Linked DNA regions of Lepisosteus oculatus. The protein of the gene in region 1 binds, or shares a complex with, the protein of each later gene. Links are inferred from orthologs where the notes say so. Each region holds a gene or a part of one and is shown in the gene's direction. Other genes may lie near its edges. The genes, in order: cyfip2 and nckap1.

What was found.
Region 2: cyfip2 (region 1) and nckap1 share a complex: the UniProt entries of both Homo sapiens proteins name them as parts of the WAVE1 complex. The link is inferred for Lepisosteus oculatus from reciprocal best matches to the Homo sapiens genes CYFIP2 and NCKAP1.

The regions. Positions count from the first base shown.
Region 1 is NC_090706.1:30,455,274-30,463,472, forward strand, and holds the start of cyfip2 (cytoplasmic FMR1-interacting protein 2), read left to right. Parts: upstream 1-5,098; 5' UTR 5,099-5,188; intron 5,189-8,199. Other genes in the region: itk (tyrosine-protein kinase ITK/TSK), read left to right, coding at 96-161. UniProt on the Homo sapiens protein: Involved in T-cell adhesion and p53/TP53-dependent induction of apoptosis. Does not bind RNA. As component of the WAVE1 complex, required for BDNF-NTRK2 endocytic trafficking and signaling from early endosomes.
Region 2 is NC_090707.1:18,461,766-18,469,925, reverse strand, and holds the start of nckap1 (nck-associated protein 1), read left to right. Parts: upstream 1-5,014; 5' UTR 5,015-5,232; coding exon 5,233-5,340; intron 5,341-8,160. Other genes in the region: dusp19a (dual specificity protein phosphatase 19), read right to left, coding at 1-95, 1,820-1,972, 2,076-2,122, 2,854-3,076. UniProt on the Homo sapiens protein: Part of the WAVE complex that regulates lamellipodia formation. The WAVE complex regulates actin filament reorganization via its interaction with the Arp2/3 complex. Actin remodeling activity is regulated by RAC1.

The DNA.
Region 1 (8,199 bases):
TTACCTATACTGTTATTGTTGGGATAGAAGAAGTTCTCCTGATGCAAACTTTTTAAACATTTTTTTTTCATGTTTTTGTTTAATTCTCTCCTTAGAAACCAGAAGACCGCCCATCTTTTGCAATTCTCTTCCATCAGCTGGCAGAAATTGCTGATTTCTGAAATTAAGCTGTTGGAAGCCCAGATGAAATGGACATAAACTGTATAAAGAAAAGAATATATATATATTTATACTGTATTTATTGCTTTTTCAGATACCAAAATTTACATTGCAGTAGCATACAAAAGCAGAAAAGCTACAAGGCTCTTAGACAAGGCCTTAACAAAAATGGTTCAGGTGGGGAGCTGCGTCAGCATGCGTAGGCTGCAAAGGAACAAGTAAAGATTCATTTGAAGAAGGTCCACAGCCGAAACGTTGATTCTTTTCTTCTCTTTTCAGCATGGATTAAACCTTTACCTGTTCCTTGACAGAAATTGTCACATGGTTGCTTAATAAATACCATCCTGCATTTGTGTTCTTTACAATATAATTTAACAGTAATCTTTTTCAGAATCGACCATGGGACTTTTTATGGCTATCATGACAAGCTATCCAGTCATGTTGTTTAGGCCAATATCCTGGTTTCATTCAAGGAATGGCTGGATGACATCCCCAATCAATTAACTACTAATTAACAATTGGTAGTTTGATAATTAACTACTTTTGGTATCAAATGGGCTGAATGTCTCCCTATTGTTTATAACCTTCCTTACATCTTTGTTACTTGCTTGTACAAATTCAGTTCTGAGAAATATTTTAATCCTGACATCTTGTATTTTAATTACATTTTTCCTATAGTTAATTATGATTTCCATAAACACCTACTCTTACAAACAGTGCAGCTTTAACAACTATAAAGCTAAGAGCCAGGTTTAAATTCTCAGTCAGATGGTTACTCTGGCCTGCTGGTCCACAGCCTACAACAGCTGCAGGTTCGTTTTGCTCAGAGTAGGAGCTCCCAGCCTTGGTCCCGGAGATCCACACATCTGCTGATTTGAGTGCTCCAGCTGAGCAATCAGTTGAACCCCTTAACAGACCAAATTATAGGTGTATAAATGTGACTTCTTTAGTTGTTTTGAATTGTTAAACATGTAGGAGGTTGCCTTTTAATGATTGTGTTTCAAATGGAACTTAAGGTATCAAACCTTTCAGTCCAGAAAACATAGTTACAACGGTAACAACCAGGACAGTCACTGGTTCAGTTAAGGATTTATCTGGTGTGTGAGGTGCAGGACTGGGGATTTTCCATTCCTGTGTTGGTCAGTCCCATCATTGCCTAGCTTCTAATCAGGCTACAAAGTGGTACACTGACAGATAATGTCACACTAACACTTGTACAGATGCTTACACACTGATAGACCCTCAAACCTTTACAACGGCACACTGCTGTGATGACAGATAATCTCACACTGACACTCTTACACTCACTCTATTGATCATCCATTATTTTTATTACATTATTTTTTTAGTTATTTTTAGATACTATCAGAAATCTGCATATTTCTGGTATAGGTAAAGGTTGCGGTAACCTGCAGCCTAACACAGACAGACAGCGTACAAGGCAGAACTACACTCTAGATGGGAGTCCAGTCCATCGGGACTCACAGAAGGACCATGTAGAGCACCAGTTAAACAGGCCTTTGGGAGGCAGGAGGAACAGAGGGGGGAAATCTGAATTGCCTGTTGTGCTAACCATTAGCGTTGCGAGCATTTGTCTGTTCATATGAAAGAGTGACATCTATTGGCAGTAATTGATTTTCTTGTGAATGTGATTGTTCAGTCTGTGCGAGATTCTTTAGCTCTCACAACTATTCCAAGAGTGTAAAAAGGTTAGCTTTGTTAATGTATTCAAAGGTTTTTGTTTTTATTACTTTAATTCCATTAAGGAGGAAACAATGGCTTAGTTGCATTCGTTGCTATGTGCAATTTTAAAATCCTATTTTTTTAATCCGTATATTACCTTCTTCATGTATTGAATGCTCCTTCTAATTTATCTGAAAGCACTACTTTCTGTATAACATTCAATTGTCTCCTTATCTGTAAAAAGAATAAGAAATATTTTTTCTATATCAACCCAGTCATGCAGCTTATTTGAACACGATAATACAGTATAACACACACTTTAATATTTTACATTTTAGTAGTTATCTTTACTTATTGGTCTATAAGTACCTTGATTTTGTAAGTAAACAATTAAAAAATGGAATGTATTACATTTTTCTCCTTGTGTTTGTGTCAGAAGTTGCTGTGAAGTCCAGTTACTAAAAAAACACAACTGTAACAGTAATAATGGGTAATGTTTCTTTTTAAACTGTTAACACCATAAGATAAGTAACAGTAAATCATTGTGTGCAATGGAAGATGGGGCACAATGAGATCTGGAGAAACGCAAACACTAAAAAATATTCCAGTCTTTACATTTAGAGAGTAGAACTGCAGTGGCCCTTCCAAACTTCTTGTTTTGGAACTAAAGGAAGCAATTAGGTAAGAGGCATGATTTATAAGGCAGTTTTGTATTCCTAATATTTTTTCCACTGTCCTGTTCAAAAGAGAACAAAGGTTTGTGAGAAAGGGAAACCCTAAAGTGTCTTAAGAGTTACCTCTAAAAAAGCTAAATGTTTTCACCTTATTTTCTCCCTCACTTAAAAATAATAGGCCCAGTGGGTGGGCTTGTCATAGTTGATACAGTTCAGAGGAGCAGAGTGAGACACACATGTTGTATAGGTTTGTACCCTGTGCTAGTTTTTGTTATATGCAATTCAAAGGATGCTCACTATTATTAACCACTAAAATAATTGTGCCTGAAATCAATACATTATAATTCTCTTAAATCTATAACCAAGGATGATCTACTTCAATAATTGTTCTAAGAATAAATTGCAGCTCCAGTATATAACATTTTTATCCAAAGCATCTTGCATATTATCACATATTAAAGATTTCGCAAGTTAATCAGTATTGCAGTACCGCCATTCTTTCGATAAAATCAACTTAGTGTAGTACAATTGTTCTTTTACAACTGTGGACCTAAATAACAAGATATCTAATCTACTTACCATGATTTGGTCAGAGACAAAATACATGTTCATGTATGAAAAGTTTTATTCTTATCTGAGCATTGCTTCACATTTCCCTGTAAATGTCTGATGCTTTAATGTCCCAGAGGTGGTACAGTATGTCTCACTGTGTCCTGCCTGACGTATCATTACATTAGGCGGGGCACCAAAAAGGGTGAGGCTCAGTGAGACAGCTTTCAAAAATTGCTTATATCTTCTGTTATACCCTCTGTTTATAGTGTTGTATTGTTATATTGTCCATGGTTACGGTTGATATGCCAAAAAGGAGTGATTATGAGAGAAATCACTTTAAAGTTTCTGGTTTCTATAAACACAACAGACACTTGTGTCTCAGTGTACCACCACTCTCCTCTGTGTTTTGTTAACGGATACTGAGATTGATTTGTGGCATGTCTAGAAATTATTTTTTTACCCGACTTGATATATTTCAGACACTACAATTTAACTGTGACCCACCTGCACAAGGACAGCCACACGAGATAAGGGAAGGATGGGGGAAGGAAAATGTTAATTTCACATCTTGTATATCCATATTTAGGAAAATAAATGTTATCTGAAGTTCATAACAATGGTACAGGACACACTCCATTTTCCACTGATCACTGACTGTAAGGTATAATAGGCCTTTAAGTCACTATTTCATAGTGTTTGTCACAATATCACCTATTGGTATCCATCCCTCCTAGTGCCACTGCCAATGTAGAAAACATCTGGTTTATAATATAGCGGGTCTCATACATTTATCCACGTGGATGTCTCAAGCAGGTTTAAGCCTAGCCGTACCAATAAATGTTCCACACTCCCATTATTGGGGTTTGTGTGTTTCTTTGAATTAAGGGTTTTACTATACATAATTCAGTATGAGAATTAAAACAAACTCAACTCTTAGAATTACATTGATCTTGTCATGGTTTCTTTATGTTCTATATATCAAATCTGGGTTCATCTTAGAACGGTATCGTTGAGCTACAGTATTTATAAGAGGTTCGGTTTAGTACTTTTTTGTGTTTGTTCAACCCAAGTATTTGCATTCTGCAGATACCAGTTACAGTACTTACCCGTTTTCGAAGACCAGTAGACATGGAAGTCAGTTGTTCTCTTTAAGTTTCGTTTTTTATCTTCTACTGTTCTGTTTTTCGTGTTATGCTTTTAAACTAAGAACTTTTTATTCTTTTTTTATCTTCGCACGTTTCTTGTTCAACACTCCAGGACAACCCTGACATGAATATGCTCGATACAAAAAAAAAAAAACTGGTTTAATTTTTTTTGGCCATGTAATAACCGAAATAGTCTCCATCATGCAGTATTATACTGTATGGTTTGAAACCCCGCTTCCAAGTGAAAGAGGAATAACTTCTGTAAATTATGTACACATCAGTGTCATTTGCACAATTTGATGGTTTTATCATTCAAGTGCTGCCGTTGGAATAAACTCAATGCAGATTTCAGTCTGGGTTATGGTTCAGTTACCATGAATTGGCTTGCTGATTGATATTGTAACGCATACGGCTACAATATTAATATTAATTTGTATATAGCTACAGTTTATAAAATAACGCGAGCTTTCTATGTTGAGGGGAAGGGCAGATTAAATGCATCAACAACTGGACTGAGAACATTAAATGAAAAAAAAATACTCTTCCAACCTGCACATTCATCCACTAAATATAGCTAACGCGAACCGCTTCGGAGCCGAGCAGTGATGTGACTGCTGCTGTGTTGACTGTCATGTAGCTTTAAGGAAACACATTTGCAGCCATTTTCTGCTCTTTGTGTTTCGGGGATTAGCGGATGAGCATTCTGCCAGGCAAGAGCATCACTGAGACATCACCACTTTAAAACACAGGTCTGAGGCGTAAATGCGAACCGTTCCGTCAGCATCGCCAAAAAGGGTCATGCGAGCATCAGGTAAGATTTAATTCTTTATCATCAATATTGTTCAAACGCGATGAGAGAGATGGCACAGACCTGCCAATGGGTTTAGTGCAGTTACATGATGCTGTATGCTACCACAGGCTTTGCTATTTAGATAATTGTAATATATGAGAAAAAATTGTGGACATTTTTTGCAGGTGACTAAATCTATGGATAAGTATAAATATTTTTTCCTTACTATCCTTTAGGTATTCTAGAAGATTTTTCTCTCGAACGTGATAATGCATAAGCCTCAGCTACCATTCGAGTATTTTTTAATTGGGTGGGGTGAACTGTGTCTATGTGTGCTACTCGGTATTGTAATTCCTGTATGTCTTACTTGATATCGGATGTGTGCATTACTTTTCACGAATGACGGGTTTTCAGAAAAATATAGATTATGGGTTTTTTTTCTAAATGATGAAAAATACATAACATCTCTATATTCATGTCGCGATCCTTATCTACAGTTTAAACCTGCATTCACTCAAATTTGGTGTCTGTTATTGTTTTCAATACATTTTGAAGTGATGGACCTGGGCTTTATTTTATTTTTAATTTTGTGTCGCTTTACACGACGTGTCTCTTTAAATCCACCTGAATACCCAGAGCTGGATGTCGCGGTTCTGATAGGATCTCTGTGGTGTCATGCAGGCAGCTTGCAATAGCCAGGCCTCGTATAGTTATTTTTTTCTGCAATCGAAAAACTAGAGCAAATATGCAAATTAAGAATAATAATATTCATGAAGCATGGTCTCTCATTTTCTATTATTACCTGGTTTCAACTGGTTGATTTGTTTCTGTTGCAGTCACTCTGCCTGAACATTAAGAAATACTTTGTATCTCCTCAAACGCTACGTGACGCCCTGTTCTCAGTAATTCAAGTACTGTAGCTACACGATCCCTAGTCTAGACCTGAATAATGCATAATATCAAACCTTGGGCACGTACATTAAATAACGTATAACTGAGTGAAAATGTTATGTTGTCATTCAGCCATTTGCACAACCAAATCCAAATATGTTGTAACCAGGAGCTTGGTAATCCGGTACGCAATGACTTCAAAGAAAAAAAAAACGTTTTTTATCATTTTTATGACAGCAGAAACTCTTTGCTAAAAATTTGTTTATAAAATTAAAAAAAATGATGCAAACATTTAGATGAGTTACATTTGTATAGAATTAATTTTAAAAAAACTTGTTAAGGAAAAATGTGTTAGACAGTGGTAGGGCTCTATTACACCTTATAATATATCATAGAAAGCATTACATAGTCTGTTGTAAAAATGATAAGTGCTTTAAGATAAGCTTTTTAAAAGCTTTCTTTGTTGCATCAAATTGACTTACACCTTCTCCTAAATGGTGTTTTACTTCTGCCATTGTGTGGAAAGTTTGCTGTTTTGTGGCCAGGAACATTTCTCCTGAACTGTTTTGGTCACAAGTCAGATCCTTGTTGTATGTACAGTATGAACTACCAAAATGCAACTTCGAAGTCTGTAACTTCCTACTGTACCTGCTAACTTGGTGCAAAGCTTGACAGGAACTGCTTGATGCAATGGTTCTGAAGTCATACCATTGTTCTTTTCCTATTGTATGTACTGTATGTGGTGTTCATGTGTGTCTCATTAAGAATGTATCCCAGGGAACCGGGGAACAGGAACCAAGGGGGAAATTATTTCCCATCACAATCATTGCCTAGTTAAACTATCAAGGAGACTTGGCAATAAAGCACGGGACTATCCAGCAGTGATATAACACTTAAATAAGCAGGACCCCAAATTTACAGACAGCTCTAGAACACAACTGATGTGTTTTATTTTGGCATAATCACAAGTTATTGTTTGTAGACCCAGGTAATTCAGCAGTCCTGGGAACAGATACCATCCTCTTACATCAGTTCCTCGTTTGAATGTGTTCTCGCATGCACACAAGAGAAATCTGACAAACCTCTGCTTAGGACTTAGAGGTATCATGGTTTTTGCTTCTATTTGCAACAGAACGCAAACTGTAGAGTGTGTATGTCTAACCCTGGGCGTGGAGAGCCTCAGTCCAGCCGGGTTTATAACCAACAAGTTAATCTGCAGTTTCTAAAGGTTGAGAGCACTTTTGTTTCAGGTGTGAGTATCACATGCCCATGTCTTTACTTTTGACATGAGAACAAACAGATAAGGTGAGTTCTCAGTGTTTGAGGGAGAATTAAAGCTTTATTAGCGTCCAGTATAAACAAGATAAAAGTTGTCTGCAAAGTATGACATTTCAGACCAAATTAAGGGCAACATTCAATTAAACCTAAAGTGCGTTTAGCTCAGAGATTGTTGGCTTTCTAAGCCAAGTGGGATTTCTGTCCCCTAAATTTTCTTTGGAAGGACTGAGAACTCTTCAAACCCTTTGCCAAGTTCAGGTCTTGCCACTGTTGGGAAACTATACTATAGTGTCTTATAGGAGTTAGTGCGGATTTGAGGAGCAACACATCTCCTGGATACTTACTTTATAAACCCAGATGGGAGATTTGCACTGTAGGCAGATAAAAAAGGCAATCACAATACATAGTACTTTTAAAACAACATGAGTCCATTAACAAATTAAAAACATACACGCCATAAGATTAAAAAATAGAAGCAATCCTCACTGTCCAAAATAGGTACATAAAACATTGGACAATCTGTGAGTGAAATAGATACCGTACCTCAGTAAGATACAAACATGATGGAAATAAAACGTAACAATCCATTGCTTTGTGTGAATTGAGCAGGTTCGTAGTTGTGGGAATGAAAAATCTAAAATGAAAGAATGAAAGAACATTTGCACTTAAATCTAGGCAGTCTAAATCGACAGAGGGAGTTAGGATTTACTGTACTAGGTCAATCAGTGACTAAATTGGCTTTCCACACTTCTTTTTTAGTATAGATGCCTGACAGCTAGAAGCTGTTGTACGCTGATACCTTTGCTGGCTACCTTCACTAGGTAATCACATGGTCCATCGCTGAACCACCAACATCTACACTCTTAAACAAGAAGCTTTACTGTTTGAGCTACTCGGGAGTTCTCTTCTTTTGTACGGTTTTGTCTGGTTCTGTGAAAGTACTGGATTATACTGTAAGTGTGGATGAAAACTTTTCTTTCTTCAGTGAGCCAGCTTAAGTCTTCTAGCTCTGTTAGTGTTTCCAGTC
Region 2 (8,160 bases), on another chromosome or scaffold:
TCAAAACGCAGACCTTCTGTTGACATCAGGTATCCAATGACTATGGATGCAGAGCGGGACACCCCAGCATTGCAGTGAACAAGCACCACTCCGTTCTAAAGAGAGAAGGGAAAACAAAATCTTCACATAGTACTTAACACTGTCTTGCTTTTTTAACTTTGTGAAAAAAGCATTTAAGAAGAATTAGAAACAATACACAACCAGTGTCAAGATTAAAAGGTAGAACCTTCATGAGAGGCATGAAGTAAGATCCAGAACCATATACAAATCGTGAAAATACCTTCATACTGCATCTACGTTTAGTAGATGTGTTGGTCAAAAACATGCATCCATCCATTTTTAACCCCTTTTTCCAATTCAGGATCACAGGAAAACCTATGCCTATGCCAGCAAGCATATTGTATTCCCTAATTACAGCAAAAAATGATACATAGCCATATTATTAAATAAAAATGAAGTTTCTCTCCCTGTCTTTGTTTGTTAGAGTTGGTAAATGTAAAGGAAATCATCACTGGTTATCTTCTCTTAATTTTCTTTAACCTCTTTAATGAAGTTGCATTTGTTTCCTCATAGACTTGGCACTTACTATACAGTATATTAAGAAAAGGTGTTTTCAACACATATGTTAGCTGAAAACACAATTTCATTGAAATAGATTATATTTTATTATACCTAAAAGGACTTGAAAAAAATTAGCCTTTAGAAAACCTCTACATTTGCAAGAGAACAATAAGATGACACACTAGTGGAGGGGAGCCCCCATTACCTGTAAAGCGCTTTGAGTGGAGTGTCCAGAAAAGCGCTATATAAGTGTAAGACATTATTATTCATTATTACTAGTATTCCATGTAATTATAATCAATAAAACATGATGTCAGAATTAATTGGATTGCAAACGAAAATGGTGACAGATCAATTTTAAGTGTAAAGTGGAAACTTATTTTTAATACATGATGTAATTATATACTGTACCTCCGTGAGTTCCTTTAATGCAATAGAGTAAGGCAGCTGATTACCATGACACTGGTTTGGCAACAAGGCTGCATGAGATACAATGGCCTGTAGAGATATGATCGTTATCTACCTACTGAATAATGGATCATGAAAACTAGCACTGCCATGTTGATATCAGGTGCAAGGAATGCTCTGCACCAGCAGACTGCGGGGTATCAAATAGGCAGTCTCCTAAAACTGACCACTCAGGAAATTACTGCAAAGATTTAGTTAACGAGATTATCAGATTTCTTCATTAAATACATTAACAAGTGGCATGGTGGCACAGTGGTTAACACAGCTACTTCACTGCCCGGGACCCTGGTTCAATTCCGGACCTGGCATCCTGCTGTATCTGCGTGGGGTGTTCTTCCCGCATTCACATGCATTTTCTCTGGGGGCTCCGGTTTCCTCCCACAGTCCAAAAACAAACTGATAGGTCAATTGATGTCTGGGACAATGGGCCTTACAGTAGGTGTGAGTGTGTGCGTGTCTGTGTCAGTCTGCCTTGTACCTGTTGCTTGCTGGGATAGGATCTGGCTCTCCTGCAACCCTGAGGCAATTAGAAAATGGATGGATGTATGGAAACACGCTGACAGGTCTCCTAGAATTTTTTTAATACATGATATACTCCTTACTTGCTTTTTAACTAATCTAGCAGTATGATTAGATGAACAAATTGTTACATACTTTCTTAAATTAAAATAAATGAAATATAACTTAAGTTTGTGAAAAGAAATTACAATCTAGAGATCTATCAAAGGGGACACCCTTTTGTTTCGTAAAGTAACATACTATTTTAATGCAACAAAAGTATAAGGCCTACCTGTGCCTTGACCTGCTCTATAAACTCTGAACATTCCTGGAAATATGAGGTAATGACAGTCTCTGGAAGATCCAGTATGGAAAGCTGCTTATAAACAAACTGATCTTGAAAAGTGTTTTCAACACCATATGCAACATTCAATATGTGTGTAACCTGAAAAAGATCAACAGTAAATGTTACTGAAAATACACTCATCGAAGGCCAATGTGTAAAGAAATTTAAATATCATACAGCAGACACTGAAAATAAATAATACCTTAAATTTCTTTAATATATCAAAGTCCTGGGCAACATCTTGTGAGGCTAGAACAAAAAAGAACACTGACATCAATGTTTTAGTTAATAATAGTTGTCATTTTCACACTAATACTGCAGTTATTATTCTAGTGTTTTAACACTAGAAGGGAAGATGGTTGGCTTATTACAGGAACCTGAGAGAGTGGACATGTATGCTACTTAGCGTAACTCATCCATCCATATTAAGTGCTTGAACAGAACTACAGTTTTCTTTAAATAATCTAAAATCAGAGCCCCGCCTCAAAAGACAAGCATTTTACAGAGCATGTTTTAAATGTTGCATCTCATATGCAATTCACAAGCTTCTCTGATAAAGGGGACTGTATTAAAAACAAGTGTAGAAAGTACCATAAAAAACATTTTTTAACTATTCATTGATAAAGGACTCATTTAAAATTAATACTTTAAGCATATACCAAAGTTCATAACCAAAAACACAACACTGAAATTAAACATCAATGTATCTTAATATACAGTAACTGATTTGTGCTTCCAGAAGCGTTTCTTACTTGCAGTGCCTTGTTTGCTATCCCTGAAGTCAACAGCTGCTCTAACTTCTTAAAATAATAAGGCATTTCCCCCATCCATAGTAAAACTTCAGAACGCTTAAGCTAAATGGAATTGAAAACTTAACACGTGGTTCAAAAATGAATTCTGACAGCTTTGCTGCTAAGTGCAATTTTTTTTTCTTAAATCTGTGTGAATGACATTTGACAATGCAAAACTATTTGTCTCACCAAGCAGTAACCAAGGTTTGACGATACCGACTTGGAGATCCAAACTGAGATCCTGAACATATCCACAAGCACCTTCGGGTTGTACGGTTTCTTCAACCACCTGCACAGTGGAGTCTTTCCACGTTTCTATTATTCTTTTCCCAGTTAAAGTCGTTACCCTGGTACATTGCTTTTTCAGTGCCGACTTTGAAAAAGCCTTTATTTCTTGAGCAAGCGAATGCATTACATGTGTGTTACAGGAACAGTTCAAAGCAGAAAAAGTCTACAGTAACTCAGCTGTCCACTTGCCGCAATGGGATTCCAATACGCTCTTGTACTTCACCGAAGATCTCATCACTTGCTATCAACTGCCTGAAAACCGAGAAGAAACCATCTGTAACCTAGATATATTTTTGGGAGCATGTAGTACTTTAAAACATCGCCACCTGTAGGTGCGGAAGTCTATGGCAGCGTACACCCCGGTTATCACCAATTGCTGCGTACTGTACTTCATTCACAGAAGAAACAGGCTAGTGTTCATTCCCAAGAACTGACTTCCTAGGCGTCACGTTTACTGAAAATGGATGGCTGGATAATTCCGAGCTTCCTCTTAGAAGAAAAACGTGTTATTTTTTTAGAAAACACAAAACACATTAAACGACCCCTCTATTAGAATCACGTTATCTTTCGTCATATTTTAAAATATTAAACATTATATTAGCACACAAATAATTCAAGTGTAATGTAAATATACCTAGACAGAATGGGTAAAACTGATTAATTTAGTGGTGAATATAAAATGAAAAAAAAAGTATCAAAATCAAGGACGCGATGAAAACAGTCTTTTTGTATTAATATATCAATATTTTTTTTATTTTTAGTGGAGATAGCACAGATAAAAAACTTGAAATAAAGGATATCCCACATAGATTTTATAAATCTATTCTATTTATTATATTCTATTGTTATAAACTTAAATATTATAAACTTCAAATATACTCAGGAATATTGGATGACATATACCATATTTTATGTTTAAACTAGATATATTTCGCTGTTTTTGTGATATACTACTGTTGTTATATACAACTGCATATTGTTTTTGTGAGACATGAGGCATTGTAAAAGTATTCACACTCTTCTAATGATATAGATATGAGAAAATAAAGCAGGAAGTAATGTACAGTAATGTACATGTATTTTGATATGAATTTGATAATGTACATTATCACATGATTGGAGATCATGGCGAGTACATAAAGTGTTATCCCTTGTAATGTCTGAAAAGGGTGCCCACCAGATGAGAGACCAGCATCATGAAAAATGCAGTTATTATTTAAATAGGGTCAAATAATCCCTGTGTTTTTTTGGAAAACTACGTGTTTATGATGCTTGAGTATTTGCATTAAATTAATTACTTTGTGCACCTTAATAAATTAGGTTTTCCATAGCGGTGTGTGTGGGGGGTATGTACTTAAAGTAACTTCAATTTTAGATTCTTGTTTGCAGTTTTTAGTATTTATTATATTGATATATTCACAATTAAGTTTATTTATGTACAATATTTAAATCCCTGATCCCTGGGTTCAATTCTGGACCTGGGTTGCTATCTGTGTGGAGTTTGTATGTTCTGTTTATGTGTTTGCATGGTTTCCTGGTGTGAGTCTGTGCGTTCCCTGCAATGGACTAGCATCCTACAGTATCTTAGATGTGTTCTGCCTTATACCCATTGCCTGCTGGTATAGATTCCAGCTCATCCATAACTCTGTATAAACCCTGTATTGGATAAAGTGGTTAGAAAATGCTTAAAAAGGTGTATGCATAACTTGACCCATGATAAAGAATTCAATAAAAAATATGATAATGGTAAGTCTGTAAAGCAGTCTTCTACTGACATTTAGGAAAATAAAGTGCCTCGGAGTTTCAGTAGTTGCTTTGCTCAGGATAAACGCGTATTGTGTTGGTGGAAAACAGAACATCTCCCAGAGAAGAAGCCAATGTAACGGACACAAGCACCACAGTCAGCGTATAAATAATCCCTACTGAAATTAAGAAGTAGTGGGCCATTTTAAAATTCGAATCATTATCTGCGGTATGAAAACACTGTGCTAGTAACAGGCTGTCAATTTGGACCACAGAGGCGGAAATCAGTGCAATGGGAGTCACGTGACATGCGTCGGTGTTGCAGGAAACGGCCTCGTTCTGAGAGTCAGGGCAACACCTAGAGAAAACAGGGAGACAGCGGAGGGCAGAGCGGGGGGGAGTTTTGCGAAGCTGTTTATCCGTAATATGGGAAGAAAATAACACTAAGACGCTCGGGGTCATAATAGGTCCGAATCACACACTACACAGCGAAGGTTTTACGGCGTGCTCCGTTTTGTGAAACACTAAGCAAGCAGCATGTCGAGGGGTGTGCTGCAGCCAAGCCAGCAGAAGCTGGCGGAGAAACTGACCATCCTCAACGACAGGGGAATCGGGATGCTCACCCGCATTTATAACATCAAAAAGGTAAGGTGGCGTTATAATGCACAGGGTGCTTGTTTTCGGGGGGGTCGCAGTCCTTACGGTAAAGTGTTCTGTGAGCATCATTGTTTCCTAGACGTTTGGAAGCCATAGCTGGCATTGCAACATGACTCTGCAGAGCCTGGGAATGGGGATATGGACAGGAAGAATGCACCCAAGGCCTGGAATGGCATGTAACACAAGCAGTGTACTGAAAAGAGGAAATTACTTCAATTCTTGTTATTGGCGGCCAGTCTGTGAATTAAATCTGGCAGATCTTTGTTTTTGGTTTTTTTTTTTCACCTGCTGGCAGAGTGTTTTCATTCTCCGCGGTATGGTGTTTAAAACGCGAGCTTAAAAGCCCCTTCGCTGTTTTGTAGTACATAGCGAGCTGTGTAGCACGTCAGCATGTAGAAGAATGGTTGGCGTTTCCAGTTGTTGTGAAGCTTTGGAGCGATGGGCAGCGAGAGTGAAACAACTTGTTTGCACCGAGACCGCAGCGTGAGACATCGCGACATAATTGTTTCTCGCTGTGTGGTTGTGTGATAGTTTTGATTGGTAAGCTCATCACGGCAATGTAGCATTAATGTGGGCTCCATAAAAAAAAAATGGACGGTAACATTTTAACTTGTCAGTTTATTTGTATAAAAATTGACATTGCCCTTCGTTGGTGATTTTAGTGCCCTAAGCCGTATTGGTGGAGAGCTGACAGCGGAGGAAAGCGTTAGACTGCGTCCTGTTTTTGTTAAATTTCATGGCTGGCAGTAGGTGACAGATTTTTTAAATCGCTCGAGTTATATATTAGTGCAAGAGGAATCAATTAATAAAATGTACACTTAACCGTGTATTTTTTTAAAGCTGTAGTTTACCCATAGATTCTTAACAATGCACCTCAATATTTTGTATCAGTGTATTTTGGAAAGCTGCTGAATTATAAAATAAGAATTGATTTAACGCCTTATAGCATTTCTGGATTAAATACCATTGGAAAAAATGCATGAAATACAGGAAATATTTATTAAGCTTTGTGGGCCGTTTCTATATTTAACATGAATATTACTCAATACTTTTAATTGAAAAACAAAACAAAAAGCACTATAATCATATAAATGGCGTAGGGCTTAAAGGAAGATAATTTACATTTGATAGAAGAGGAAGACAGACATACATCAGGTAATACTTCTATCCCGCTTAATGTGAGTGAATCAGCACATATGTAGGGTGTTGGTTTTTTTATGTCTGGAAACTTGCAGAAACTTCAGGAATACACCTGTATTGTATTGTAGTGTCCTATTTGTTTTTGTATTTCTTTTTTGGCCCATAAGTGTTTTTCCCTAATTTGTCCAGTTTTAGTGTCAAAACCTAATTTCTAACTTCTTTGCAGAACAAAGCCAGGAATTTTAGTTTTGACATGTCTGGTTTAAATCATCAGAATAAAAGTATAAAATACATGAATGAGGTAAAAGCTAATGTTCCTCTACAGATCCTCTAGGGGGAAAACGTGTCCCTGTTAACTGCAATTTACAGAAAAGAGTACATATCCTAGCAGGTTCTGTTGTGTGCATTTGTTTGTGGTCATGTGAAGTGGACCAAAATGTATTTTAAAAGGGTGTGATTGAAACAACTTATCTAAAGATAGCCTACATGTACAGAGATATTTTGTGTGTTTTCATTGTAATGTTTTCATTATTTTTGGCACTTGTAATCTATATGAATAATCAATGTGGTCTTTTTTCTATTGTTTGGTCAGAAGTTATTTTTCTTAATATTATGTATTGTTTGTCGAAAAAGTAGGCACATATTTAATGTTCAGTATAACAAAATAAAGCATAGATCCAGATATTTACCAGTCATCTTTTGCAACATTGTTTTAGATATGAGGTTGATTTTTTTTAATAGTCACATTTAGTATAGTACTCCACATCTTACTCTTACTGGAATGCAAATGGTCAAAAGACTACATAAAGCAAAGTGAGATGTTTTGTGAGTTAAAGGCTTTTGCGTACATAGGCTACCTATATGCATAAAGGTTAAAAAAAATCTTCTTTGGTCTTGCTGTTTGATTGATAAGTTAAAAAACTGAATGTCTGAAGCTTATGCCATGCCAAAAGAAACAGCACATTTCCTTGTTTTATTTACCTTAGTAATGTTATTGGTTGACATATTCTGCCATTTTGGGCACCATACTGTGTCAACTAGTAGACAGCTGCAGATTTGGATAATCCACAAGCATCACAGACACTGTATGCAAGCTTCATGCAGAAATCACATAATTGTAGCACATTTTCCAGCCAAAAGGGATCCAAGCTAATAGAACACATTAGGCAATCCATGTTATGCTTATTTTTCAGATTGTCAGTTTTGAATTTCTTGATATTGACTTTGAGAGCTTTCCTAATTTTTTAAATTTCCGGTTTATGCGTATTGAATAAGGTCTTGATTAAAAATTAGGAAAATTAAAAAAAAAAATACGTTTTTTCAAATATGTAAGGACAAACACCAAAAACAGTACTTTTGTTTAATACCTTGCTCATAAAACTTTTTATATGTACAAATGCGTTAAGTTCTTATAAAACATGACTATGAGCCTGAAAGTGACCTAAGTTTCTGACAAGCTAGAATTGTTTGTTGCTGTTCAGGTGGGTTAATAAAAATAGGTTGAGCATATTGTTACAAATTGGGGGTTACGAAGAAGTGTTTACTCCAAGTGTCACAAACATTATCTAAAATCTACGAGACACTTCTCAGTCACCTAAAGCTGTAACAATATTAATTGATTTTTTTAAAAAAATCTGTATTCTGTATAAATTATACATTATATAAAAA